4 linked regions of the Styela clava genome follow. The protein of the gene in region 2 purifies or fractionates together with the protein of the main gene of each other region. This does not show direct contact. Links are inferred from orthologs where the notes say so. Each region holds a gene or a part of one and is shown on either strand. Other genes may lie near its edges. The genes, in order: poly [ADP-ribose] polymerase 1-like, WD repeat-containing protein 76-like, T-complex protein 1 subunit beta-like and DNA repair protein complementing XP-C cells homolog.

What was found.
Region 1: the proteins of WD repeat-containing protein 76-like (region 2) and poly [ADP-ribose] polymerase 1-like purify together in Homo sapiens (affinity purification with mass spectrometry; 4 studies listed by BioGRID and IntAct, with this or other methods). This does not show direct contact. The link is inferred for Styela clava from reciprocal best matches to the Homo sapiens genes WDR76 and PARP1.
Region 3: the proteins of WD repeat-containing protein 76-like (region 2) and T-complex protein 1 subunit beta-like purify together in Homo sapiens (affinity purification with mass spectrometry; 4 studies listed by BioGRID and IntAct, with this or other methods). This does not show direct contact. The link is inferred for Styela clava from reciprocal best matches to the Homo sapiens genes WDR76 and CCT2.
Region 4: the proteins of WD repeat-containing protein 76-like (region 2) and DNA repair protein complementing XP-C cells homolog purify together in Homo sapiens (affinity purification with mass spectrometry; 3 studies listed by BioGRID and IntAct, with this or other methods). This does not show direct contact. The link is inferred for Styela clava from reciprocal best matches to the Homo sapiens genes WDR76 and XPC.

Annotation. Positions count from the first base shown.
Region 1 is NC_135251.1:21,237,534-21,245,030, reverse strand, and holds the start of poly [ADP-ribose] polymerase 1-like, read left to right. Parts: upstream 1-4,476; 5' UTR 4,477-4,727; coding exon 4,728-4,868; intron 4,869-5,253; coding exon 5,254-5,418; intron 5,419-6,483; coding exon 6,484-6,621; intron 6,622-6,955; coding exon 6,956-7,169; intron 7,170-7,398; coding exon 7,399-7,497. Other genes in the region: multifunctional protein CAD-like, read left to right, coding at 1-2,000. UniProt on the Homo sapiens protein: Poly-ADP-ribosyltransferase that mediates poly-ADP-ribosylation of proteins and plays a key role in DNA repair.
Region 2 is NC_135251.1:17,054,078-17,061,822, reverse strand, and holds the start of WD repeat-containing protein 76-like, read left to right. Parts: upstream 1-4,738; 5' UTR 4,739-4,804; coding exon 4,805-4,864; intron 4,865-5,533; coding exon 5,534-5,678; intron 5,679-6,073; coding exon 6,074-6,183; intron 6,184-6,678; coding exon 6,679-6,832; intron 6,833-7,723; coding exon 7,724-7,745. Other genes in the region: uncharacterized protein LOC120336343, read left to right, coding at 1,950-3,218. UniProt on the Homo sapiens protein: Specifically binds 5-hydroxymethylcytosine (5hmC), suggesting that it acts as a specific reader of 5hmC.
Region 3 is NC_135255.1:22,610,280-22,618,135, forward strand, and holds the start of T-complex protein 1 subunit beta-like, read right to left. Parts: upstream 3,012-7,856; 5' UTR 2,951-3,011; coding exon 2,948-2,950; intron 2,248-2,947; coding exon 2,179-2,247; intron 1,417-2,178; coding exon 1,230-1,416; intron 260-1,229; coding exon 183-259; intron 1-182. UniProt on the Homo sapiens protein: Component of the chaperonin-containing T-complex (TRiC), a molecular chaperone complex that assists the folding of actin, tubulin and other proteins upon ATP hydrolysis.
Region 4 is NC_135258.1:14,477,884-14,485,412, forward strand, and holds the start of DNA repair protein complementing XP-C cells homolog, read left to right. Parts: upstream 1-4,511; 5' UTR 4,512-4,607; coding exon 4,608-4,718; intron 4,719-5,187; coding exon 5,188-5,316; intron 5,317-5,987; coding exon 5,988-6,133; intron 6,134-6,406; coding exon 6,407-6,557; intron 6,558-6,813; coding exon 6,814-6,909; intron 6,910-7,027; coding exon 7,028-7,447; coding exon of another isoform or gene 7,448-7,449; intron 7,450-7,529. Other genes in the region: tRNA (guanine(27)-N(2))-dimethyltransferase-like, read left to right, coding at 2,423-3,790. UniProt on the Homo sapiens protein: Involved in global genome nucleotide excision repair (GG-NER) by acting as damage sensing and DNA-binding factor component of the XPC complex. Has only a low DNA repair activity by itself which is stimulated by RAD23B and RAD23A.

The sequences.
Region 1 (7,497 bases), about 4.2 Mb from region 2:
ACATGACATACTGGATAAAGCATTTTGAAGCGTGGCCTAAAAATCTTCCGATTTGCGTTCATGCTGAAAGGCAAACAATGGCTGCTGTATTATGGTTAGTGGAACTGTACACAAGGCCTGTGCATTTTTGTCATGTTGCTCGCGCAGAAGAAATACAGATGCTTCGCTTGGCTAAAGATCGTGGTTTACCCATTACTTGCGAGGCCGCACCACACCACTTATTCCTGACTGAGGATGACCTGGACACCATAGGTCATGGACGAGGTCGTGTTTGTCCATCACTCGGCACAAAAGCAGATCAGGATGCGTTATGGGAAAATTTGGACATTATTGACTGTTTCGCGACGGATCATGCTCCACATGCAGTTTCTGAAAAGGATAGACAGCAACCATTGCCACCACCTGGATTCCCTGGGCTTGAAACTATGCTACCGCTCCTGCTAAATGCAGTAAATGAAGGGCGATTAACCCTTGAAGACTTAATTTTAAGATTGCACACTAATCCAATGAAAATTTTTAACTTGGCTTCACAACCCAATACCTATGTTGAAGTAGACATGAATGAAGAATGGATCATACCATCTGAGATGCCGTTCACTAGATCTAAATGGACACCATTTGCTGGTATTAAAGTGAGAGGTGCCGTAAAGAGGGTTGTCTTACGTGGAGAGGTTGCATATATTGATGGTAAGGTCCTTTCACGTCCAGGTTCTGGCATGGATGTTAAAAAGACTACTCAACCACCCCCAGTGGTTTCAAATGTACCGAAAACTACAGCCTTGAAGGTTTCTGTTCCAGAAATGCCTTTTACTACTCAGCAAATTAGCCCCAGGCCCGGTACTTCTGAAGGGCAACTCGGATTACCACCTAAAGTACATAGAGTATCAGAACCACCTAGTGGCCTACCAATACCACATTTTGGACCAGTCGGTGATGCAGGTTCTGGTTTATTGATGACAAAGAGAATTGAAAGTGACAAAGGTATGACACCTCAAAATGCAAATGTGCTTAGGGGAGCTATATTGGGAAGTGGAGGAATATCGGGTAATTTGGAAGGTAAACTTCATCCTCAACATGGTTTGGTTGGTTCTGATGTATTGAAGGTTTCCCAATTCACCAAAGAACAACTTCACCATTTATTCAATGTGGCTCATGCTCTTCGTAACATGGTACAAAGAGAGAAATATCTCGGAAACATTCTAAGCGGACGAGTTATGGCATCTTTGTTTTACGAAGCCAGCACGAGAACAATGTGCTCTTTTCATGCTGCAATGCATCGCTTAGGTGGATCCGTTATTGCAATGAACAAAGCGTCATCATCTGTGTTAAAAGGTGAATCTTTAACCGATTCTGTGCAAGTCATGTCTGGTTATTCTGACATCATTGTGTTGCGCCATCCAGAACCAGGAGCTGTAGAAAGAGTTGCAAGGCACGTCAGAAAACCTGTCATCAGCGGGGGAGATGGAGTTGGAGAACACCCTACTCAAGCTTTGCTTGATGTCTTCACTATTCGAGAAGAACTTGGAACAGTCAATGGAATGACTATAACCATGGTTGGAGATTTGAAGAATGGTCGGACTGTTCATTCACTTGCTCGTTTGCTAACTTTGTATCGTGTCAGTCTTCGCTATATTTCTCCAGAATCATTGGAAATGCCTAAAGACACTTGCGACTACGTCACATCCAGAGGAATTCCACAACGTGTTTATTCGTCTCTTGAAGAAGCTTTGCCTGATACTGATGTTCTGTACATGACTAGGATTCAAAAAGAACGTTTTCAGTCGAACGAAGCATATGAAAAAGCAGTCGGAAAATTTGTGCTCACTCCACATTTGATGACAAAAGCTAAGCAAAACATGGTGGTCATGCACCCACTACCAAGACTTGGTGAGATCAAAGAATCTGTTGACAGTGATCCTAGAGCTGCTTACTTCCGCCAGGCCGAGTGTGGACTGTATATCAGAATGGCATTGTTGTGCATGGTTCTTGGAAAGTATTGATTGTAAATCTTTTGATAAACCTGACATTTTTATCATTGTGTCTCTTCCCTTGCTTTTTTCTGTAGATATTATGTCTTTTTGTTGCTAATGTTTGAATTTGTAAGATGAGTTGTGATAATCATTAAAAAGATTGATTGTGAACAAATTTGAAATCTAATGTAACCATTTTTTGATCAATCATACTCGAAGGCAGTCATGATAATGTCATATGATATTTCATCTTAGTTTGTGTTTCTTATGCGGAATTTTATAACTCTTCACTTTTTACATGGTTATGATCATTTTGACCTAGTTTGTGTATTTCTGCCATTTTCAAGTCTTCTGCAATGGAACAAAATAATTGCCATATTTTGACATTGATTTTCTGTGGAAATTACACAAGTGTTATATCTTTTTTAGTGTATACATTGTAACCGCTAATCTAAATGCGGTAGAGCATCCAAAAAGTTAACTATATGTATCTACTGAATGTCATAAATGGCAACAATAATTACCAAAACTGAAATTTGATTTAGGCTGTGGCCAAAAAATACATTCCAACCACAAAATATTAGTATCTGTTTTTGTAAAGACAAACTAAATGTGTGAACCCTTGAACTTTACTTCTTTTATTACGGCCTTTGTGTAAACAGTCTACCCTCGAATTTGAAATTTCATGACGACCAAAAATACTAAAACTGTGTGCCTAGTTCAAGTGTAATCATTAAATAAAGATAATTTGATAATATATCATCTCTGCGAATTTGTTCCCCAATCATATCATTACCATCCTTTACTCCCATTATTTCAAAATATTTACCTGAATGATAATTGGACGAAATCAAATCATCAACGGAAATAATGAAAGCAAATGCTGCCTCGCACCATATGGTACTTAATATTTCATTACATTATGTTTAAAAGTGTAATATTGCTTTTGCATCAAATAATGAATTGCCATGTCCAAAACTTTTCTCATATTTCAATTTTTTCCACCTGCCATGACCAAAATAGTGTCAGAAATTTCCATTTCAGTATGCTGCTTTGTGTTTAAATTTTTCTCCCAAGGGCAGGCAGCAAAACCGTAATGATTGTTTTGATTCAAGTAGTACATTATTGGTAGGATTAAAAGTAGAAAATGGTGATGCAACAAAATGTCAAATTTGTTATTAATTTCAATTGAAAGCACATGATATCCAAGCAAAAATCTGATTAGGATCTACCACCTGGCTGAGAAAAGCTGATAACATGACATGAAAACATTAGTGCAAATCACAAATTCTGGTCCTAGTCAGCCTTTGGATTAGTTTAGTATCCAATTGAATGGACTAAACTGGTATTATAGAAATTTTGTGTAAGAAAATTTTGTTTTTTGAACCATTTTTTTTGAATACTCATCAACATGATGGTGAAAATTAATGAGCCAATAAAAAAGTCTTAATATGTTACCCAAATGTGATATTATGTGAAATACCTTGTTTCATGACTTGACCAAATATTCGCATTTTGTAGTAGGGTATTGGTTTCTTATTATTGTGTGAATAATATTGAGACAATATATTGGTAATATCTTACCAATGAACGTGAAATAAGTTTGAATGTTTTGATATTACATGGAAAAGTTATCATTAGGTCCTATCTGACTCTTAATGTGAATCAACACAGGCCAATATTGCATTCATTACAAATAATTCTTCCACAATAGAGCTTTTGCAATATTTACAAATTTTCCACTGCTGCTATTGCTTCTGCCAATTTTTCTATGCTTGCCAACTGTGTGAATTTGTTATCAAATTTTTTTTCTGCATCTCTTGTCATTTCTTTGGTAGTTTCAAACCTCATCGATATGCGGGTGAGGACAAATAGCTGAAAGAAGTGTAGAACTAATGTACGCTTCATCATCGTTTTCTTGTAAGGCTGTATTTAGACTGCATAGTGCAAATGAATTCAAATTAGGAAAGCTTAAGTATGGCTATCTTTAAGGATGATGCTGTTCGCAAGTTCGATTTCAGAAATTTGGATACCGACTGTGTACTGTAGAGCTTGGTGCTCAATGCCACTTCATGTACATTCCCCGATGACTGAAATAATTTTGTGGCTTTTTCGTTTGGGAGTAGCCTATACAAATAGCGATTTTTTTCGATACAAATTTGAATCATCTACAGGGTATGTGCCACCTTTGCGCTAGTCGTCTCCATTTGCTCAAAATAGAAACTCTCTTCGAAACGAATCACGCATAGTATATACCGTAGGTCAGGATAGCTGACTGGAAAGACGAGATTCATATTTGTTATACTCTTCAGGTCCATGAATTAAAATCGAATCTCTAGTTAGACTACCTATCCCACGTCCAACGTTGATTTGAAGTGAGTGGCTTGCCGTAGCCTGCCATGTTATTGGGCGGTTTGTCATATTTCTTTTCCTCTGATAGATATGGAAATAATTCCGTTTGCGAAGCCGCATCACCTCTAGGTCGCCAGGGTATTTTTTGTTAAACGTTCGTTCAAGACTAGACGTTTCGGCCCACGCGTAAAGAATATTTTGAGAGCGCTTATTTGTAACATCATCTTAGGGTGAGTTGTCGCGAGGCGGGAATGTAAATAAGGCGCTTAACACGTGACCAGTGTGTCAACACGTGCCGACATCAGCCGGTTTGTGTTATTGTTTTGCATCTTCAAATTGCTGCATATGCAGAAATACCTAATACTGTAAAAGGAGTTTGTTTAGGCTGTGTTTTTGGTACTTGATATGGAAGTTAAACAAGATTACGACTATGCTGCTGAATATGCAAAAAGCAACAGATCACAGTGCAAAGGATGCAAAAGTTTGATAGCAAAAGATTCTCTCAGAATCGCGTTGATGGTTCAATCTCCCTTTTATGATGGAAGGGTAACTGTTTGTTTTCTGAATTGAATGTAAGAAAAAAGATTGTAACCTACCGAATTCGTTTATCTAATTACTAGCCTACATTGCTAATGAGGCGAAGTAGCCTACACATCCAGAATTAATACTGAATACCGGAATATTGTATTCTGGTATCGCTGTACTGCTGTATGACAAATTCTATCCGAGTAATACCAAATAACTGAATGAAGGAATTCAACAAACTATTACCCCTGTCATGCCAACTACAGGTCTTGGTCAATTCTTTGTTTTATCTTTAAAACATAATATTGACTGAATGTAATCAATGTAGGCTATCTAAAATACTTTATTGCAGTATTGGCTTGAATTTGAGGTTAATTTATTAAATTACATAAAAATTTTGTTTCAGCAACCCAATTGGTATCACTATTCGTGTTTCTTTGGAAAATGTCGTCCAACGAATACTGAAGAAATAAAAAATTTCAACAGTTTACGATTTCCCGATCAAGAAAAAATACAGGCTCAAATTGACGGTTTTGCTAGTGGTGCGAAAACTAGTAAAAAAGGACCAAAGGTACTTGAATTGCATGATTCAGAATGATACAATTCATGGAAAATTGGTAGCCGAAATTATGTTCGGGTTTATTATTGACTGACTATTGTACATATCGTCGTTGTGCCGTACCTCTTTGTCCTGTGTATTGTACTGAAGTTTTTTCGTATATTTCATGTCTGTTGTCCTACTATAATGAATCAGTCTTAGGTCAGTAAGGTCTCGAACATATATCCCGTCTCTGTTATATCCTTTAATTATTTTTGAGGCAAATAAGCAAACATGCGATACCTTTCCCCAGACTGGATTCCATGGCAGATGCACGCCCGAGGGCGCTAGCGCTCAACAAAAATGCACGCGAGCGAATTCAATTCTGCACGCCGAAAATTTGCAATTGCTCACCAATGTAAATCGGTTTAAATAGTTTTTAAATCAATAATCTAGTAATAGAAAGATGCCAAAAAATTACAACTTCACAATTGTCGACTAGTACTAGCTTGCAAGATTTGGCATGACCGAAAAATGCGAAGCAAAAAACCGTATCGTGTTGAATGAGAAAGATCGCCTCCTCACCGTCGCTGGCCAGTTATGGCTTTGATTCAGCGTATTTTTTTATACAATAATTTTACACGGATGTACTGAACAGTACCGGTATATAAAGTCGCACAAACACTCTCAAAATTAGTGACAATAATATAGAAATAATGTTTGGGGTCAAAGGTCAAACGTCCATTTTTGCTATGATTCAACATATTTTGTATCCAATACCGGTAATTTTACGCGGATGTATTGGAAGGTATCTTAGGTCGAAGTCAGTTTCACGCGGGCGCAGTTGTTTTGCACGCCGTGAGCTATAATTGCACGCCCGAAATTCGTATTTGCACGCGGGAATTTCTGATTGCACGCCCGATTTCTCCTTCAAAAAGGCCATGAAATCCAGACAGGACCTTTCCTACTGCTTTATATAATGAGAATAACAGCAATGAGAATAAAAGGCCTACAGTATATTGCAATTTATTTCTGACATTGGAGTATATTTGTTATCGCTGTTGTTTATTATTTCCATTTTACTTCTTATGTTATCAGATAATCTCAAAAACACTCAAGGATTTTGTGGTTCAGTATGCAACATCGAGTCGAAGTACTTGCCGAGGTTGTGATAATAAAATTGAAAAGGATGAAATTAGATTATCTCACAAGGAGAAACATCCAGAAAAACCGCAGGTTCCATATTTAAATATGTTGACAAGCTTAAATTTGTGCTATAATTAGTTAACCATTCAGTTGCTTGGCTGGAATTTCTCTTTATCTTGGAGCCACAGAAAAATGGCAAAATACTACCTGTTGTTCATGATACACAACAAATCAATTTACTATTTGTTTGAGGAAAGGAGGAAAATTTTCTACACAAGCGGAAATTTTATAAAATTTCACTTCGCCAAACTGTTTTTTCCTGATGTTTGATTATACATTTAGCAGATAATTAGTTTTGGGGTTGTTTAAATCAGTCCATCAACTTCCATGTATATTATTTTTAAAATATATTTTTTTTACCCAGCTGGGATTGGTAGATAGATGGCATCATGTTGGATGCTTTCTCAAAAAGAAAGATGACATGGGATGGCAGCAACATTTCACTGCAGAAATGTTAACAGGTTTTAATGGATTAGATGCTGAAGACAAAGCCAGCATTAGGAAATTATTAGCACCTAAGGAGAAACGATCTAAATCAAAAACAGATGCGAGCGCTGCCTCATCTGCCTCTGCTCCAGGTGAACAAAAAATCTGCTTCATAGTGGACAAAAAATTATGGCTTGTCATATTATTCGGGTCAATCTATGTTGGTTCCTTGTAAATAACTCAAATTCTCAGGATTAGTAATGCCTCCTATATTCAATTTTGAATGGAAAGATAGAGCCTATCTTTGAATATGGACAAATTCTTTATTGACAAGAAAGATATTTGTTATCAATTCCACAATTGCATAAAATATTTTTACAGATCCTGCTAAAGAGGAATTGAAAAAGAAAATGAAGAGTCAGTCAATATTGATGTGGAAGAACATTGACAAATTGAAAAAACTCGATATGAGGAAAGATG
Region 2 (7,745 bases):
AGGTATAAACCTTTCTTACATTCAGGCCAATCAGCCAGTCTATGCCTAAATGAATGCAACATGTCATCTGCTCCAGCCTCCAGATATGTATATGACTGTTTCAAAATATGTGTAATGAGTCTTGCGATATTTTCTCAAGGTAAATCAATATTTAAAACTTTATTTGCATCTGTATATAGTAAATACTAGGATAATAAATTGAAAAAGAATAAATGAATATTTAAAATGAACACATCAATGTTGAAAAATAAATGTCTAGTATAGAATTATTCGCAATGGTTATTGCGGGTGAACAAAATCGGACTCTGTGCACCACAATTACGGTTGTTCACATTTGATTGAAATCCCGCCATTTTTCTGATCTCAGCACTTCACTGCATTCAACTTTTTGGTTTACAGGTTTATGGTATGGATTTGTTTTGGATTATCATTAGATTACAGCAATAAATTTATTTCTGGAATATATAGTTAAGTATAACAGGATGTTAATGTTAATCCAAGTGTAAATAATGTCATAGCAAGAATTAGAAAATCCATTTCAGTAAGGAGAAATATGGAACAATTTAGACAAAAACCTAGTTAGACTATATAAGATTATGAACTTATCATAATCTGCAAGAACCTATGAATAATTGTATAAATTTTTCTTTTCCTGCTAACAATAATTAAAAAACATGTAAAATAATGTTTATTTACTGTTAAACATGGTGAACTTTATCTGGAATCAACAATGGCTGAATGGAACAATATACAGATATGAATTACCGGTACTAACTACTATATGATGTTTATGAATATAGACTAGCCTACTTGTTTATTATATTATACGTGACTATAATTTTTCATCATTTATTTATTTTTATAAAACTGTTTTGAATCCACAATGTGAAACCTTAAAAAAATAAAAAATAGTCTATAATGTATAACAGGATTTTCTCAATGATTCATATTTTACCATCCGAATTATTAATTTGTTTCATTCATTTATCTTTCTGTCGGTAGGCTAGACCTATTTCAGTATTTATATTTTATGTAACTCTGTAACTAAACTACCAGCTGACCAGTGCTGTAGTGCCTAATTCCAGAATTCTGTAATTTACGCTCACCTCGGATATTGTTTGAAAAGGTGCTCATTATATGTGTACAGACATAGCATACACACAAAGGTGCTTTAATCACCCTTATGATATCTGTCTGTCTGTCTTGCACACTTCCAAGCTTCTGCACTTAATCCAATATTCTGGTATTCAAGTTGTCGGTAAACAGGTAAACCAAACTAGGAAACCTAAAACAGTTTAGCAATTATTAATCAATCAAATTAGTCTATCATAGTAGTCTACCATTTACTGTTAAATTTAGAAATGTCCACTTGATTCTGTGATTTCTTCGATACAGTATAGCACACTGTACTCATTCAACATCGAGCAAATTGTTTGCCGCCTGTCAGGAATAACCCCCACATTAAAAGACATAAATTATCTGATTATAGCAGTGAATACAACGCCCTCCTATACAAGCCAGTCTCCATATCGGCAAAGCGGCATTGCGCAATAAACTAAAAGGAAGCTCAATCTAAAAATGTAACTACTGGATTCCTTGTAAAAAATACTCCAATTCCCCAAGGGAAAAAATTTTACAGTAGCATTCGAGAGTTTTTGGCAAAAAGCGCAATTGATTCAAATTATTATCGAGACAAGCATGTTACGATCTGCCATTGTTTAAAATTTCTGATCACTCTGTTTTATGGTATATTTGGCTCTATTTTGTCAAAGCATCACAGCTCTGGTCCTCAGCTGTCTTCGCAATATTTAAGGCATTATTAACCTTTATTTGATATAAATATTCAAATATCCAATTCATCAGCCAAGAATTTCTTATTATAAATACAGAAATATGATTTTTTCTTTCAAATTTCAGTTTTATATTTTAAGGATACATTTAAATATATAATGTCAGCAGCTGATGAAGACACTGAATTACGTGATTTACTTGTGCAAACATTGGATAAAAACGGTGTTCTTGGTAAAATCAAAGCTGAATTACGAGCAAGTATATTTTTAGCTTTAGAGGCACAAGAACAAAATAAGACTCCAAATCCTTTGAAAAATACAAATCTTCAAAAATTTGTACTAAACGATGACGGAAAAGCATGTATTGGTATAATTAATCAATTTTTAGAATATTTTCATCTTGATTACACAAGTGCAGTCTTTGAACCAGAGACAAATATTTCAAAAGATTTAATCCCAGATGAAAATAAAGTTCGTGATGTTTTACATTTGGGACCAAGCGTGGATAGAGAACCATTGCTAGCACAAATGGTGAACAATTTAAAAGAGAAAAAATCATCGACACCACAGGGACTTGACAATCATCAGATACAGTTTCTTAGAACAAAATTTGATACTTTTGATCCTGATCATTCGGGTTTAATTAGCCAGAAAGACGTCACATCAGTTGTCAGTCTTGCTTGCCCACTTTTTCATCCTTCTATTTTGGAAAAATTTGTGGCTGAGGAATTCAGGAATAAATATTCTTCAAATGTGACTTTTGATGGTTTCATGAGTGTGTTTCAAAAATTATATGAAATGTGTAGCTCAATTACAATGGTCGGTAATCAAATAAGACCAAATTCTTTACCTACTAGAGTAAAATCACCTGAAAAAAGATCATCGTCTGAAGAATTCTATATGAAGCAGCCATCTTTTCATCAAGTACCATCTTCACCAATTCCTATGTCTGATCCTGAACCAGCGAGAACCTCCGGTGCTGATCATGATTCTGGCGGTTTACCTTCAGCCTATTTAATGCCAACCAATATGGCACCACACGATGGCAGCAATAGTATGGATGTGAGATATGATAATGATTTAGATTTACAATCTAGAAAAAGGGATCCTATTGATTTAAATATAGATGGTACTCGGGGGAGAGGTGATTTACCTGAGGGTTACACAGATACTCCAGCTATGAGTCCAGAATCCAGCAGAACAAGTGATGTTTGGCCAAACAAGAAACAAAAAACAGATGAACCTTCAAGTCATCAACAATATGAAGATGACTTCAACAGTGAACAAAGCATTTCTGAAGATATTCAAGACATGGGAGATGATTTACTTCAAAGTAGTGAAAAAGACGAAAGCCTGGATTTGACAGAGGATCGAACAGTATCAGAGATTCCTCATGCTGATTACATGGAAGATATAAGGCACGGTTGATGATGATTGTAGTATTGATCTTGTATTTTGCACAAAATAAATGATAAATTTCAATGGAAAAAGAAAATTTATATGGGGTTGTGAATGTGATTGTACTCGGAGTGACTATCGATGAAAAATAGGCTTCAAAGTTCAAAGAATTTATATTGGTCTTTGTTTAAAGAATGTTTTCAAGCACAACATGCAACAACCACGATTGATTACTGTTATTTTTACTTGATATACAAGTTGAAGGATGCTCATTAAAATTTTCATATATCTAGTCTAAATTATGCTTCTACCAAGTTAATAGAAATGTGTAACCTCAATAAAACATTTATCATTTGTTATTATGTCAATAAAAACATTCTGTTCCTCAATTCCTAGAATATTCTAGTAGTGTTTGAGTTTGAATTATAAAACAACGAAAAATTTCTCTCAAATACCATGATTATGTACCTGACTTTTGATACATGAATGAAAGCGATACTATTTGGTAAAAAGTAGGTAGTACATTTAGTGATGTTCAAGATAAATCAGATATTTTATATGCATTTTATGCATGCAATTTTGCAAAATCAATGCATTAAATGCCTGATTTTAAAAATTGTATAAAAAAATTTTTCTCGAAAAAATATATTTGTGCCTTTGCCGATCAATTTTTAGTCTAAAATCAATTTTATTGAATCCTATCTCACCCAGAGTGTACTATATTGTTCTGGTCCTTCCAAACTATAATACCTCCTCACCCACCGGGGCTTCTTGTACAGAGCCTTGCTTGATTGGAAGGAATATAAATATCCGTCATGAAAAAAAACTAAGAAATCAATCCAAACGAGTTTATCTCAAAATTTACTGCACTGTAAATATTAGTCTTTACCAATGTAATACCGGTAGGTGTTATTCAAATTTCTCAGTTAATAATTGAGATAGTAGTAGGGTAATAAATTTTTTGGCCTCCATTTTCATTCAAACTATGTTATATGATATTTGATGGCATTGCTATATTATAACTTACTGTAATTGTTCTAACATTTTATTTCTATTATGAATATTGGAATATTAATATTGGAAATAATTTTGGAATATTTCCATAGAAAACTAAGTTTTAATTGAAATTAAACCATAATGGCTGCTCTTAAACAGACTCGAAAAGTTTTTTTTACATCAGTTTGTTTAAATCTAGATCAAGAACGATACCTTTATATAACAAAAAAGAAGTGGTTTTCGAATACATGGAATTATATTTAGTTTTGAGTAGGTTTTTTCAAACATGACATGTATTGGACAACATTTACTTAACAATATATGCCTATTATAATTTTACTATCTAACTTTAACATACAACATTCTCATAATATGAGGTGTATGTTATTATAAGTGATCAATATTACTGTATTTCAATTCTTATTTATTTATTCAAAGTGCTTAATCATTTTGGTTTTACAAACTAGGATACTCATATTCAATGAAAATCATAAGATTCATTCTTAGCCAGAATTGAGTTTTTGTAACACATTTTTTACTTTTTTGCTGCTATTGTTTATTGATTTTTTGTAGGTCATAGTTAAACTTATGTAAGATTGTTTTGATGTTCGTCGGGCAACATGTCAACAATGCGACTAAGATCAAAGCGTTTGGAACTCACTGGTAACACTACGAAACATGTAAGTATGTGTGCGTAAGACAGTTGTGAAGTCGAACAATTTTGGATGCAAATCCAAACAATGACTTTGAGCCATTTTAAAAAAAAATGACTTCAGACAAAAATTTTGTCTTGTCCCTCGACCAAATATTGAAGGAAATATTAACTCTAGTGCTGAACCTGGATAAGACCTAGTTATGATACCAAAAACTTGGCATATGCAACAATGCAAGCCCTTTTTTAATGGCTTTTGAAAATGTCAACTAGGTACTTTTTGACTTTGATCTTCAGTTACCGGTAAATGTTTTGAATCTTATTATCATCAGTAATATATTGAAATTCTGACTCCAACGTCAGTAAAAACATATCAGACTAGTCCTGGTCTGTAATGAGGAGTTTGATGCTCACATTGATAGGATGCTAATACAGGAGGAATATAATTAACCTTTGAAGTATGCTTCATTCAATAATCATCAGGAACATTTTCCCTGAACCCTGGTTCAAAATATTACATATATGTTTATCATATAATATTTCTGCGTTCATATTTTCAATACCCTTTCTCTAGATTATTTAAAGCAAATTATTTAAGAATGTAAAAGACTTTTAATGTTTTGAACTTTCTAGATATTCACGTTTTGTAATTTCTAGTGTTCAATATGAAATAAACACAAAATTTTGATTCATTCAGAAAACACCTCTGAAAAAACCAACTATCGAATGTTCAATTGATGTTACACCAATTGGAAATAATTCACAGTTTGGCAAAGGAATACCAAAACAATCAATATCTGCTGTCAGACGATTAGATGAACTTTCACAAGATGAAGAAATAAGTAATATTGTCTAAACTTTTGATTTATTTTTTTTTTTAAACCTTGCACTACTAATATTTACAAATATCAAGTACTGATCAACATTTTGGTAAAAAATATTGAAGCAAACAATGTCTGCTGTCATACTACTCAATAACCTTCAGAATACACAAGATGAGGCCCAAAGTACGGTAATATTGTTCGAACTGTTGAAGTGCTGACATTTTTTTCAAAAAATCTTTACTACTGTCTAAGTGTCTATTGATCTTTGTAAATATCAATTACCCTCCTAAGTATTAAAATGATGAATGGTCTGATAGCTTGATGGTATCTGCAACATTGTTAAGCTCTGTTAGAGACCAAGTCACAATTCAAGAAACAATCTATTTGAACTCTTCGTTACTTCTATATCTTAGGTACATCTGCCAATGAGAGCAATAAGGAAAATATGGAAATGGACATTGAAGATATTCTATCGGATTCTTCTGATTCAATTAACACCAGTGATGAAGATGAAGATACAAGGGTAGGAGTTCTGAAATAAAAATTTTGAATATTCATTTATCAAATGTAGAAGATAAATACTATCTATTGATGAATTTGAGTTTTACAAAGGCGAAAAGATTTACAAATGCATCATAGAATATCTGATATTGTAGCAGACCCTATTCATAATGAAAATCTGTGAATGTATTCAAATTATTGTTTCTAACTTGAAAAGTACTATATATAAAGTTGCTCTTGAGATTAAGTTTGAAAATTCTCATTTTTCCATTTTGTGGTGCGGTGGCCTAGAGGTTAAAGCATTGTAATTGACTATAATAGCATCGCAGGTTGAAATACCATTCTCACCATCTCATTTGTAGGTGATTCAGAGCTCAAATGATTTTGGTCTTTCCAAACTATAGTAGCTCCTTACTTCGCGGTGTCTACTTGTGCTGAGCCTTGTTCAGAGCAAATGGCATATATGTACATAATATAAAAAATGTAATTTCCATTAATTGAGTAGGTATTTTATTAGATGGAAAAGTATATGAAGAGAAAAAATCGAATCATGGAAACAAAGCAAGAAATGTTGAAGAAATTAGCAATTGTGGAATCAACAAAGGAAATTCGAAATGCAATGATCAGAGAAAAACAGATTACTAAAACAGAGAAATCTGCCACAAAACAAAGTATGCTTTAAATTTCATCTCAAACATCCTCTATTCTATGCAAAAGGTCTCGAATACAGTGATACCTTGGTAGTCAAACGACTCGATACCTGAACGATTTGGTAGTTGACCAAAATATTCTAGTCAAAAATACTGCGGTACTCCAACAGAAATTTGATGCTCCGACACCCGAGTGTGCCACTGAGTGAGAAGACGTTACCCAAACCATGCATCTCTTCTGTCTCTCGACCATTCAATAATAAGATATTTGGACACGAAGGTTAAAATGAAGTAGTACAAGTATGCAATCTGTAACAGTGGACTACCGGTACAGCAATCTTCATGACTAATGCAAAAACTGAACCGCGATTAGTACGCAATTTTTGATGACGTCATCCTCATCGCTCACAATAACAAATTCCATTAGAGCCGAAAGAAATTTGCTCAAACATAACTCATCCAAAATTTTTTATTTTTATTATGTACTCATTTAAATAAATATTGTTGTCAGGTACATGATTTGTTAATATTTTGGGTATATTGTACTGCATAAGGATGAATTAAAATAATTACTATTGTTTCCATTGTGCCATTGTGTACATTGCATACAAATTGGATATGGAACTTCATTGTACAATGATATCAAGTTCAGTTTAACAGTAGTAACTAAATACTCAAAATTAGAAATACATTGGAAGTTCGAATGTAAATCTCAGTTTCACAGATATAACCATAATTGTCCAATACTATATTGAATATTTGTGTTATATTTGTGGCAGATAGTGAAACCCACATTAACATACAATACCCTGTTAGATCCAATTCACTGCGAACTCAAGAGGGGATTTCGATTGAAACATAGTCCACTTATAGGGTCATTATGTCTGCTATAATATTTTCCTTGGTATACAGGGGCAGGAATATTAAAAAAGAA
Region 3 (7,856 bases), on a different chromosome or scaffold from region 2:
AAAATCCCTGGCCACACCCTTAAATCAGACATCTTAATGTTGGTCCTGAGTTCCTTGCAGATCTGGCAATTCTGTGCTGCCTTCAATGCTGAACAGAGTACTGAAGGCATATACAAATAGCACAATCGAACACCTTGCTTGGCCTCTCACAGATGAGTGACCCCTACTACAATAGCACTTACTCTTAATAACTCAGAAGCAAGCACAGTAACTGACGTTGTTCCATCTCCTACTTCATCATCTTGAACTTTGGACATATCTGGGAATTAGAAAATTAAATTTTTTTATTTAAATGATGAAGCAATAGCAATTAAGTTCGTTTCGACGCAATGAAGGTTTAGGAGCAGTGCTATCAATCACACTAAAACCTTATGTACAAACTGCTGATTTATAGCATAATCCTTGTTTGAAGATCGAGAGGTGTTAAATTTAATGCAAAGATTGAAATCTAGAATATAATTTGCATATGCTCGGTATCAAAACCTATAGTAGAGCCACTCAGCTCAAACAGAGTAGCTGAATCGAATTATTGAAAACGCGCCGTTGCATATCTGATTATCGTTATGCGAGATCAGATTCCACGTTGTAAGAGATATTTATTTGAGAGGGTTCTTGGACTCCTTACATTCGTATGGTGGTTCAATGACAACCGATCAATTACAGCTTCCATCACCATAAAGTCAATTACTGTGAGTCAAACAATAATATACTCGTATTCCATACCCGGCACGGACTGGTAAACAAACAAGAATATCGGTCGGAGACCGAAGACTTATCGATCGAAACTGCGATTTCGATTCATGACTATAGTGACACCGCGTGTCCCATCACTAATTAATTATTAACTCGCTAATTATACGACATAATTCATCCAAAATTAATAGGCTTCTGGTCCGAGATATGATGAATGCACATGCAAAATTTGGAGCAGATTCAACCACGCCTTCGTGAAATATCGCGTGCATCTAACAGACAAACAGACAGACAAATACTTATCAACATACTTACTTAAGTAATGAGAGGCTGAGTTTTATTGTATAATGAGATAACCGAACATGGCGATATTTCTATGTGCAGGTTCTTAGGTTTGATTCTTTTGTGGATGTTCATGTAAGAGGGGACACTATACTGAACAAGGTAGCAGGAAAATAGGTTGCCAGGTAATTAATAGGCAGTTTTATCGGCTTTGGCTATCCCCAGTATAAATACAAAAATCCATCCGAACTTACCAACTAAGACTTTAGCAGCAGGATTATCAACTCCGACAGCTTTCAATATTGTTGCTCCATCGTTTGTAACAGTGATGCCAGGTTCCAATCCTTCACGTCCAGCGCTCATCAATATTTTATCCATTCCCTTTGGACCTAGCGTTGATTTCACGAGATCACCGATAGCAATTGCTCCAACAAATGAAGACTAAAAATTTAAATATGATTGCTGATTTTGAAAAATTCTCTCAAATCGAGGTGGATTCACACAGAAGTAAACAATACTCAACTTCGAGCAAAAATATGAATGGCAACTGAAATACCATGGGTAACCGAAACCACAAAGTAAGAAAGACGAGCCATTTCTTTGAAAAGAATTTGCTCAAATCAAGGTCACACTCACTCATACAGAATTAAAAGAAACTCATCTATGATTGAAGTTATGGTCGTTATGAAGTTACTGAATTGCCAAGAGCTAGCGAAACTATGGATTTATGGCTCATAAGTAAAGGAGACTCATCTTTGAGTCAAATTAAGAGCGACCGGCGAAATACTAAAAGTTACTGAAAGATTCATGATGGTGTATTCCAAGCCTGAGACTTGAAGCAGTTTCAAAATAACCAAGAAATACCATTGAGATAGACAGTTCCAACAAATGAAGACTAAAAATTTAAAGATGATCGCTGATTCCATAATTTAAGATTCAAATTAAGAGCGACTGTTGAAATACCGAAAGTTACTGAAACTATATCAGAATATAGATTCATGATGGTGCATTACATGAGCGAGCAGTTTCAAAATGATCAAGAAACAGACCTGAGGTAGAAAATTTTACTTAACTGAAGCTCGTGGGATAAAACCTTAAATTAATTTGGCTTAGACAAATTATGAAAAAATTCCTACCATAAAGGAAAATTGATTCAAAAATAATATTTGAAACTGCATATAACTGAATATTTCTTATACTCACCAATCTTGCGGTTTCTGCCTTTTCTTCATCTGCTCCAGCATTATAAATTGAGATTGGGCTTAAGGACATCTGAAACAGTAAAAATGAATTGGGTCATGCAAGGTAGAATACATGAATACAATTTTCCATATATATCTAACGTCTCATTACGTAATTTTGGGCGTTTGCGTAATATTAAAGGTGTGGTCCACTTTAGCAATTTTATTGTCAATCCAGTACGGCACACTACAAATCGGGTGACATTGTCCCGTTTCAGAGAAACCCATTTACAAATGATTAGACACCCCTCTTTTGGGAGACGTCAGGACATTGTTGTCCCTCAATATCGGTAATAATACAGTATAATGAAGTTGCGCAAAATACTACAAAGAAGCGCAATCTAATAACTAACTCATCATTGAATTCCTTGGGGAAAAAATAATCCGATTTACCGAAAGAAAAAATATTTTACCGTAGCATTCGAGATTTTTTAGTTAAAAACGGCAATTTTGATCATGTGACGACCGCGATTAATTTAGATTATTATTGAGACAAGCATGGTGTGATATGACGCATCTGACGTGGTCCCAGGTGCCCCTCGTTTGTGAGACACATAGAGTGTTTGTTTTATTGAGCCAAATGGAGGGAAATTCCTGGAATTTGGATAGTGTGCTGTACTGTAATCAGACTTATCTGATGACCGATAGGTAGTAATGTCATTACAACTATTTTTCAAATTCAATGATTCCGTGTCCAGGTATTACAGTATTATTAGTATCTACGTACTCACCATTTTGAAAGATATTTGTTTGAGATCACAGTTTGTAAATAAATTAGATTATGAATCTAAAAATGAAGACATAAATATGGAAATACATGATATATCGAAATTTTATAGAATACTTTCTCTAAAAAATAAAATTGAATACTATCTTAAGAGGATAAAAATATAGCTGTTTAAAAACAGCCAGTCAAATACAGAAATGTTTTAAATGAGATGGTGCTAAATTTGAGAAGCTCTGATAGAAAATATAAAACAGTAGTACAGTCTGACAGTCGTACAGTAGTAGGAAAGAGTTAATTTTATGCATCTTGCAAAACAAAACATATGTTACCGATATTGTTTCAAATGCATGAACTATCGTGTATCGGTACTACCGTAACTACACAACTAACAGAGTCAAAAAGTAAAAGTCTGGCGAATGGATTGCAGAATTAGGTGCGCCATATACAGGGTGTCCAAAAGTTAGTATACACTTTTAATTTGCTCTTCAGGTACTCATAATAGCGCATTCATTTTTTAAGGAAACATGGTAATGGTATGGATCAGTCTGTAAGTAGTAAAATTTATGTATTCGGTATTGTTTGCATTTTTGTATGTATGTATGTATGTTTATTAGTCTCGTAGTAGTAAGCAGTATAAAAAATTGACAATATTAATATTGGAGACGCAACGCATGCACAAGACCGTACTGGCCTAAAACACAAATGTGCGACATGCGCTCCTTTTCATCAACCAGTCACCCCACAGAATGACAAGGAGATTAACCCAAGAAATGAGATGCAAAATTGCTGTTAGCAAGAAGCATATAAATCAGTAAGGCAAACTCAGCGCCTCTTTAACAGAGAATTTGGAACCTCAATCTCCAAATGCAGAAATGCATCAACCAACGGAACTTACAATAGTTAGCACAGGTATCGTATAGCTAGAAACAAAACAGTCCTGGTATGTAACCTAATAAGCTTTAAAATTTCAACAACCAACAAACACAACTTGTATACACCAGACTAGCCTGTGAAAAACAAAAACAGAAGGTCGTTCGAAAACGCCCAACCGCCATTACAGCGTTACGGTTACTAAGATCGCCAGTCGAGAACATTCGGCGAGGGGCCCATGCGTCGATGAGAAAGAAGTGACCGGAGCATTTGTTCAAATAATAAAACTCGGAAGCTAAATTCTCAAAAATTATCATAGTGATAGCTACTATGAATATTGTAACTCCTTAAATACTAGAATTATTAATTTTAAAATACCTAATTTAAAAATATTACGTTGAAAGTATATTTCAAAATTTGCTCATACACTCGAGTATGCATAAACAGACTCCTAACAACTATATTATATACTCCAGTTCCTATTTCAAGCGGTTTTATAACGACTGGTCATTGAAAGTTTCACCCGGTTTCACAGCGCTTCTTCCCAATTTTTATTTTTAACAAAACGCAGAAATATTTGCGCAGCGTATGAACAGTATAATTAAGATTCAAATTGTGTAATACGAGAATGCGATACCATAATAATAATAATGCAACGTCAGACACCTTAATTTTCCATGCTTTCAGATGCTGGCTCGGCGATATGGCGCATCGTGGTGAGCGTGAGAAACACGCTGGCCATCGCGCCCCTGATTACCAAAAGTGGGCTCGCATCTTATAGGAAAATAATTATGTGCGATTGCTGGACTACTCGCCGCTGCAGTGTGGTTCTCGTAACCGCTGGCCCGATACGACTTCCTAAACCATCAAGTCCTTGCATCTACACTAATTCCACACCCAATCGGACGAGACGCCGTAGCTTGTCATATGATTAAACCGTATGGATATATTTTAATTGGAGTGTGTGCAAAAGAGGGAATATATCAGTCCAAACAATTGAGATGAACTAGGGTTACAATAGACCATGGACCTGAACCACGCTTCGACGGAGATCGTGTGCCAAGCAATCTTCTCGTACATAATTATCCAACACAGCAGGCGAACCCAAGCGGAGTAATCAGAGGGATAGGATTTACATATTTGTTCAGGGGAAAGAAATGCCGAAAAGACAGTTTAATTATATGGCAAACCACGGCATCTCGTCCGGTTACCAGTCCATTTCGGATATGGGATTAGTTAGCCAGTTATTTGTTTTCGGAAACACGGACAGCATTATGCTATGCGATTTTTCACAACGATAACAACAATCAATCCAATCCCACCGATGAAAATAACAATAATTTGTAGAAAAGAAAAATTAACCACGGATTCGCTTCGTATAATAGGCATGCAGTCTAGAGCAGTGGTTCCCGAACCGCGGCCACGGGCCAATTACGGCCCGCATAACGGTCAATATCGCTCGCCAAACTTTATGATTCAACACTTTATGATTTTTTTGCGTTTTAGATACCGCCAAATGTTACGTCATTGTCACAGTTCGATCAGTAGTATAATCGAAACAATTCAATTATACCGGTATCGTAAATATTTTTATCGGAACCGGTATCATCACCTTGAGGGCGCTCCCCTCTCCTGACCCGCGAATATCCTTTCGCTTCCAATTTTGGTCACCGGTTAATCAATCGGGAGTAGGGGTGCTTATTGGCCCTAATTGCTTTGTTGCTATCTGAATGGTAGGGTATCCTCAGAGCGTCGATCGAAAGATTAACTGCATGACGTTAGAATTCAACGTTTTTAAAAAGTCCTGGAGCCCAAATTTCGGACTGAAACTAGTGGATGCAACTAATTTGAAATTTCGAACTGAAACTAGTAACAGTTGTGCCGATGCCACAGTTTTGATGGTGCCAATTCAATTTTGTTACCAATTTTGTTCTGTCGGGAGCCAAAGTTGATGTTGAATATTTCTGATTCAAATTTGTAAGATGGAATGAGAATTTCGTTACAACTGTTGCAAGGAGGCATGTACTTCGATTTCGACTCTTTTCTTTGACGTCTCTTCTTCCCAAGAGATACCCTCTCTTGATTAAAATTTAGGTATACGTGAAAGCAGTCAGTTTGATGAAATACAGTGACGTCAGAATCAATAAATTTCAATGAACATATGACGTCATAGGCAATACGACGAGTTCGCGATTGACGGCGATACACTGTGATGTGTTAACGGTATTCACGCCATATTAAGTTAACTTGTCCTAGTACAACTCAGTCACAGTGTACATAAGGTATAGAAGTAGGTCACGCAGAGGTAAAGCACTGGAATTTCAAGATCAAATCTATGCCAAAGTAGATATAAAGCTTCAATCAGGTTGGGATTTTCATACTTGTCCCGGGGAAAAAAGAAAGGCCTACAAGATGGCTTACGCGTGTGTCTCACACGTTCTCAAAGTGATCCATAAATAGTACCAGGGCTCCGCGGGATAAACCCAGGGCTCCGCGAGATATTCGTTTACCTGTAACTGTCCAAAGAAGCTATAAATACGTCCGAGTCATTAAATAACGTAGGCCTAAGTTTAATATACACAAAAACATTCATCGGTAAGTAACAATGTTTTTTTTAAAATTTATTGCGGTGTAAATGATACTCACCTCTTCACGGGCTCCAGAATACCAAAAGTCCGGGTCTCGCACGGGTTTAGTTGGCAAGCTATTTGTTTCAGATGCATGGACTTAATGATGGGGAGGCAGTAACCGGCCAGCGGGTAACTTCAGGCAAATGGTTTGAGACTAAGCATGTAACGTGGAAATCAGAAAATTAATAAGTCACTCCAAAGATTTTCTCGCAAATGGCGCAAACCGACTCACACTATATTGTGAATTCAACAAAATTTATAGTTATGTAATATCAAGCATGAACGACATTAAATTTATTTTATTAAACATGTAATATCTTGAGCCATGTTTGCTCATGCATGCTTCAATTCCCTGCTACATTATACCCGACTTCCTTTATTACGTGTTGTAATTTCCTTTTAGACGTCTTCATGGTAAACGAGTTCGTGGATATTGCGTGAAAATATTGTTAAATTTGACTTCCATTCTGTCGTTAATGAGGTCATTACACCTAAAATGTGTACTTTGAGTTCGCCTTCAACAAATCATAATGATGGGAAGAACATCGATTACGTACGTTATTACAATCCGCTTGTATTAAATTTCGATGGAGTAAACAACTACAATAACGTAAAAATTGTCACACTTTTTTTGCAGCGTTGACTGCTACTTTAGATCGTACAGCCTTTGAGCTGAGAACTGACTAGTTTCTGAGATTGGTAGCGTAATTTGTGATCTTGCATGTATGTATTCGCAAACGGTAGAGTAGGGCCTAACAATTTTCACACAATTTTGCAGAGCGTACTGCTACTTCAGATTACAGCCACTGAGCTGAGAACTGACTACTTTCTGATATTGATCGCGTAATTTGTGCTACAGTCGGTATCTTGTACTCGCATTCATGTATCCGCAAACGCTTAGGTTGGGCGTAAAAAGGATAAAATAATTAGTTAGGTGTTCCTCTCATTGGTCAACCAGAAGAAAGCGTCGTAATTGTTTTATTTAGAAGACGTTTGAAACTTCAGATCGAAATTGTAAATTTTGTGATTATATCAATGAATTCGACTCCTTTTGCAAAAAATCGACCGAAGGCAGGTGTTTTTGTATCATTACTGCGAATAATTCCTCATCGAAGTAGAGGGCAAAGCGTCAATTTTATTGAGTGAAATATTGTACAGGTATTGTTTTTATCCAATGTTTGTTTAAAATTGTATCTGAGGCATTTTTTTTTTGGTGAATAGCTATGATAAACAATGTGTATTGAAGCGCAGGAAGATTCGCGAGCATTGATGTCAAATATAGTGTTTGTTATGTTTGATTTATTTATCTAAATTAATTATGTTGTCATAAATATGTAAACAATACCGTGGAAATAAACAAACAAAAACAATCAGAGAAGATGACAGTTTATCAATGATATAAAATAGTATTAT
Region 4 (7,529 bases), on a different chromosome or scaffold from region 2:
TCACTTTTCTCAGTGGGCCAGTTATAGATTACCGTAAAAGCGCCTAACTTCGGACAAAATTACTATATTTTCGTCAATAACTTGGCCATTTATTGTCCAAAAGGTGCCAAAATTGCTCGGTAAAACATTCGTGCGGTAATTTACATTCCCTGCAAATTTCGGTTCAATTGGACTATTTTTACTATTGAAATAATCGATATTTCTTGCCATCTGACCGTTATCCTTCACTGCCCTAACTTCGGACAGTCATTTTCTTCACTGCGTAACCGCGACGCACAGAGAGAAAGAGGCTTCCGATGCGGATTGCGTAATCACGTCGTTGCGTGAAGATAAGACGTTCGATCGTCGTCGTAACGTAACATTGACGTCACGACCAAAATGCATTAATTGAAACTTCCGTCGTCCTATGTTTACATCTTTCGTTCGTTATTTGCGATACTTCAGATGAGTATAATAACACGTTAGTCATTTTAATCAGAAAATGCATACGTAAATATATCTGATGCAAACCGTTTCAATCCACAATGAAGTATTTTAACAGGCTTCTATCGAAGTCTTTGAAGTATTAATATTCTCGACGGATAGCTTTTTTTTTATCGTGCGCGGTTATCTTTATAATTGATAATTTATATCAAACACACGGTAAATCCGATTGTAAAGTTTAATTTAAAATTCAACTTAATCTTGTAAACATGTAGGTCCCGTTTATTTGTTGGAGATTAAATTTATTTTTAATTTCGAGTGAAAAAAATTCAGCCAGGCCGTATTCAATAACTGTCATTTCGACTACTAATCATAAAATAATGGTTAAGTTAGTGCACTGTGCCATATGGACGTTGGAATTATCATAGTTTTATATGTTCGATTTTAACGTCATCGATTAAGTGTGACATGTATTTTCATTAATGTAATTTTGGCATATATTCATACATGACCGAACAAAATACAAAAATATTACATTGGAACGCCGTCTTTATCTTAACGGAAATTGTCATATTGGCTCCGTTGTGTCTGGCGTCAAAATTCATTTCCGCGACGCAGTGTGACGTCGTGTCGGAAGTGAGCGAAAAATAATCTACGTGAGGTTGACGTAATTTTTGACGCTGCGTGAAATCTTAATATTCTTACGGAATTTATAATTCAGAATTTTAGATTTTATTTGAATCTCGTACGACATCTTGCGATCACTCAAATAAATTATATACATTGTTGTCGCCCTCTACCGAATGATGGTATTTTGACGATGATAGCTTCAGTAGGAGCGACGCTCTGCGCCGTTGAATGCCGGGCAGTCAATTTTCGGCAAAATTTCCGTTTTTTTACCAAAAAAATAATTATGCAACATTAAAAAAGATGAGAATAGATGTAGATATAACAGCGCAACCTATAATAATTGAAATTAGCAATATACGGCGCGTTTTAGCCAAGATATGGCCGTTCAAAAATTTTGTCCGAAGTTAGGAACTGTCCGAAGTTAGGCGCTTTTACGGTACCGTACGGTATGATGTTTTTTGATAAATGCAAAACCCTAATTTATACCTCAACTTCTTGTACAGTACCAAGAGAGTGAGTAGATGGTTATCGTTTCCCTGTTTCATGTCGTTTGGGAATGAAATTATTGTACTGCAGTACTGTAACCTGGTACGGTAAGTGACTTAAGATATAATATGTGGGGAATTACTGTATGCTGTACCTGTACGGTAGCTGATAATAAGAAAATTTATATTCATAGAAACTATTTTTAATTTCAGCAGGCACAAGTGGGCAGGATCCGACCCGTGGGTCGTAATTTCAGACAGTGCAATATATTTCATGACCTCACTGCTAGCGCACTACTCGGATTATTATTAGATTATTCACACATATTCCAGTATTCATAAATATTTCATCACTTTGTGAAAAATATAAATTCACTCTTAAATCATTCATCCATCACTTATATTATTGTCTTTAGATTATATGAACGCATGTTTTTATATATGTTTATATTTTTAATTCGCCCAATTGTGACTTGCATCTAGCCATCAGCAATCATGACTTCAAGTGAGATAATTAAAGAGAAATTGCAAAAAGGTTTGCAGGCAACTTATATTGAAATAGACGATTTGTCGCCCAATATGTGTGGAACTAGTTATAACGTTGTTGTTGTATCGGAACTCTTTGTTGGAAAGTCACGTCTTGAGCAGCAAAGGATGGTCAATGACATTATTGCAGAAGAGATGAAATCGATTCACGCTTTTACACAAAAAACTTATACTCCAACAGCATGGGAAAAAAAGAAAAATGCGTAGTTGCTGAAATAGTATGTTACCATCTCCCACACTTGGGATAGCTGTTAATATTTTCTTTCGCAATTTTTAAATCAGATTTTTAATCATATAATCATAAGGTAGTATCGAAAATAGTCAACTCAAATCTAGGTATGACTGAATGTACACTATCTGAATTAGGTATTTCTGCGAAATATACAAAAGACTTTCTCACAAAGCTAGGAAACCAATGGCACACTGCTAAAAGATTACATACTCCTCGTCTATTCTCTTTACTTGCATTATCACAAATAATTGAAGAATTTCAAGGAGCTGGAATGACGGCTTTGTCTTGTATTGATGCAGTTCCAGGTCTCGGAATGTCAGGAATGATTTGGGCGAAACACTTCGGAAAAAATGTTTCAGTTACAATCAATTTACATGACGAGATTTATATGAAAAATTGTTTGGAAAAAAATCTGAAAAATAACATTCTTGAAAACAATGTATCTATTGTATGTAGGAATCCGAATTCTTTACTACACGAATCAAATAAAAGATACAACATGATATATCTAGAAGCATATGGAACATGTGTAAGGTACCTTGAGGCTGCTTGTTTCTCTATATGCCACAGAGGCGTATTATGTATTGTTTCAACAGACCTATGCACTTTATATAATAAATGTCCAGAAAGAGTGCCAAGAATCTATCATGGGCAAGCAATGAAACATGAATATGGTAAAGAACTTGCTGTAAGGCTCATTTTAGCAAATGTAGCTCGTTCTGCGAGCAGATGGGACCGTGGAATATCTGTACTTTCATCTTATGTGGATGAAAATTCCATTGTTCTTTTAGTTAGAATTTTAAAAGGTGCCACGCATGCTAACAAATCATTGGATTTTATACAAAGAGTCGCTCATTGCAGAGTTTGTCATTATCGTCAAGTTTTGAATGAAAAATTGTACTATGTTCCAATGCCAGATATCACCGACTGCTTTTGCAAAGATGGAGGAATCACAGATGAAAATGTACAACCACCGATTGTAATGTTAGGTCCAGCATATATTGGACCCATATTCGACACTAATTTTGTGATTCAAATGGCTAAAACTCTTACCCAAATTGATATTAAAAATAAACTTGTGCCAGTCATGCAAAATATGACATTGGAAAGTTTGTGTCTTGATTCTGATGAGCAAGAAGTTGAAATTATTAAACTTTACAAGGAAACAATAGAAACTCAAAAAATGTCTAAAAGCCAAGATGCTAATGAGCCGTCTGCTAAAAGATTGAAACCAAATGATAGTTTGGAGTCGATTATTCAAAAATATTCTTCGGAAACTTGTCCGATTTTCTACTATATTGTTGAGTCTCACACTAAAAAAGGGTCAAATCCTTTGAGAATTCTTGCTTCTATTCAAAAGTTGCGGTCGGTTGGATTTCGGGCTTGTGGAACGTTGTTCGATCCAAGGGGAGTTAGGACTACTGCCTCTCCCAGAGAATTTAGAAAAGTAATTAACAGCATAACATCAGACTGAAAATATTGACATCTTTTGTCTTGTGATTTTAATGAAAGCTGTAAAAAAATTTCATTTTATGCACAATAGAACAAAAATTTTTCATCTTTGCTGTGAACCGAAACTAGTAGTTGCTTAACCTTATGTGAAAAAATTCGTGCAGGATCCAAAATGCCTTACCTCAATGGCCCGCTTGTCAGTGAATTTTGTAGTTTATTTTTATGGAGCATTGATATGAGTTGAATAGTTACATATTTACCTGAATTGGGTGTTTTTAGATTTTATTCCATTATACCTTCTCAAGCTCTCAAAATGTGTTTTGTAGTTATAGATTTTATTTGAACTATATTTTGTCACGATCCTACCATAGGTATTAGACATTAGTAAAACACATCAATTAACACCCAATTTATAATTTGAACTATAAAATTGTATAAAGCAGTGGTTTCCAACCTTTTTCGCTATATTCCTCTTTTCGCGCATATTTTGGAACTACTGTATTTATTCAATCAGTAATGAATCATTAGCTTGTATTATGTGTGTATAAATAAGCATTAGAGTAAGAATATTAGCAGTTTTACTAGACCAAAATCACAGCACAAAGTTCCTTCGGATTGGGAAACGCTGGTATAAAGTATTATTGGAAATGAAAGTATCATTATTTGAGGAGTCTACTTATACTGTCTCTTTTCCCGTATTATCTTGTAAATTTTGAAATGTGAAGTTCCATGTAGAAGTGCTTAATGTGAAGAAAATATTTTGGGCTTTTTATTAAATTGCTCCATTTATTTAAAATGTTTAGAAGAATAGTGAATAGTTTAGGTTAGCTTTTGTAAAGATGTCACCTGATACAACAACAGAAAGTAGTGATGAGGAATGGGAAGAAGTTGAAGAATCTCAGAAATATGAAGAAGAAGAAAAAGATGTTGTTCCATCTGCAAATGTGGAGGTGATTACTATTTGATATCTTGAATACAAATGTTTTATCTAGTCTTGTATTTTAGTCCTTGTTTCTTTTGAGTTATTTTGGCCACTAGATTGGTTGCTTGCAGTCATTTACACTATAATATGGTCCTTCCCCTTCAGTGTTGAGAGTATCAATAAAGATAGATTTTAACTCTACTACTATTCTCTCCACTCTCAGTTGGAGGCTCTCAATTTTGCTTTGAGTAATCTAGTATAGGCCCTACTAGAAATTATGTTTAATATGAAAATTTTTCTACTTTATATATATATATATATATGATGTACCTGTGTTTTATTTGTATATTCTCATATTATCACCTTGCAGTAATCAATAATAAATCCTAAAATAGTCCCTCAATCTCAAATTCTTGAACAACTACTTTGAGTATTGAGTATCAGTCAAATTATACAAATTAATTTTGCATAGATATTGAATATGTTTTTGATTATAGGTTGAGTTGGTTCCAGATGCTGTGAAGAAGAAACTAAAAAGAGAAAAATGGGATCGAGAAATGGTTGAAACATGCATTAGGCAAGCAGCTAAGAGAATTGACAAAGAAATGCAAACTGTTATGCATAAGGTAAACAAATTTGGTTTCAGCTCAGAAAATATGATGCATTCTGATGGAAAAAGTATTTTTGTATGATGATCTGAATTTCAATACAAATTTTCTAAAGTGTCCCATCATTCAAAAGACAAAGGATGATTGACGAAGCTCAATCTTTAAAAATTCAATTTCATTCAATTTAACTAATTTTCCAGGATAATTTGAATTCTTGATACCAGGATAACACAGCAGGGAATAGCCTAAATATGATTATATTTAGTAAACCTCTTATATGAGTGGTTCCTATTTTTTTATATTTCCTGGGAATGTCTACTCAAATGTGATACGGCACACAAAAACTAGCCCCCGCTCGTTTGTCATTTCATCTACTGCGGTTACCACGGTTACCCCACCAGTGGTGCCTGGAGTTGTTCTCTCGAATCACCATGAACGACACTGGAAACACCAGGTTGCTTAATCGTACCGACATGGCTGATTTCTGTCATTAAATATTGTTCCACTTCCTTTACTTGTTTTTTTATGAGATTCCCTCAAAGATGACGCTGTTTGATAACCGTGACTGGTTTATCGCGTCTCCCATCACATTATTTTATATTTTACCTTACTTTTGTATACTTTCGTATTTTCGGTATGTGAAAAAAAACATTACTGATTACTGACTCATTGAAATTATCAAAATATAGGTTCATCTTATGTGTCTCTTAACAATGGGAATGCGTGTTAACCGAATTTGCAACAATGAAGAACTCCTATCAAGAACATATTCTTTACTTCCCAAGAAGTACCATGATGTCAAGCCGAAACATGTCTCTGCAATGTTCTTAACAAGGTTTGAATCGTTTTGTAATGCTAAAATCTATTCTTTTCAGCTGTTCATTTTTTTCATTTTTCATCCATATTATCATTTCAAAAGTTTTAAGTTGAGTTTATAGAGTTGAAAGTTCAATGTTTAATTTTAAAATTTGAATTTGTGTCTCACTGCCGCCAAATTGCATTTAGACTGAGAGTAAATTCAGATTTACTTTTGCACAGGGTACCAGTGCATGTAACTCTTATTTCTTCTTTTTTTCTCTTTTTTCTTCACTATCTGTGTTTAATTCAGGTTTATACAAGATATGCAAAAAATATTTGAGACTGAAAATGGGGTGGAAAAGCTTCTTGGTTTTGGAATGCTCAGATTACCATTCTTGGAGACTAAGATGAAAAAAGCTCTGGAAGCACAAAAAGTCAAGTTCAAGTTGGATTGGGTGTTGGTAAGTCTTCAGTTTTATGACTTTTGCATAGATATCCATTATTCATAAACAAACATGGAATTGCTTAGGGTAGAACACATTGATTTCTATCTTTTCAATTGAAGAGGGGAAGAATATTCAATTCCAACTTCCAAGATATACTGTTATTTGGTTGCAATCTCACATAAGCGAGTAAAATTTCAGATAGTTTTTCAGGTTACTATCACCTATTTCATAGATGTCCATGGATATACTTTACAAGTTTTTTTATTCTCAGGTTTTTGTCCTTGCATTGCGAGCCATGGGATTGAATACAAGGCTAGTGGTATCATTACAGCCTCTTCCTTTGAAAACACCAATAGAGAAACGAGATGTGAGTATTTTATGAAGAATTTCGAGGCTCCTAATTAGTTCAAAATGAAAAATATTAAATGACTGTAAATAAGAAAAATCACAACCGTGCTTGATGATATTACTTGATACTTTTTCAGGAGAGCGTTGCTGCGATCAAATCGAAAATTTACGCATCAAAGAAAAATAAAACTAAAGATATTCCGCTTTTAATGGACAAGGACAGCAAGGTGATACTTCAACTCGATGGAGCGAATGATTCTCCGCAGAAACGACGAGTTACTCGATCATCCACTGCGGGAGTGAAAGTTAACAATGAAGAATCCGTCAATCCTGTTAAAGCTCGGAAACGAAAAATAGCTAAAAAAGATTCCGATGAAGAAAATGCTGCTCCTTTAAAAACAAGGAGAAGTAAATTGAACAAAGTTGAAGAAAAAATTACCGAAGTATCGACAGCTGTAGCAAAGAAAGAAGTAACGAAAAAATTGAGAAAATCAAAGAAAGATACAACTGCAGTCCAAGAAAGTAAAACTAAGAAAGAAAATGTATCAAAACAAAAAGTATGTTACTTACAGCGATTCAGAAGTAACTAGCCAATTATATTTATCCAAGATTGTCTTGCTTAACAAGTTATGAATATTC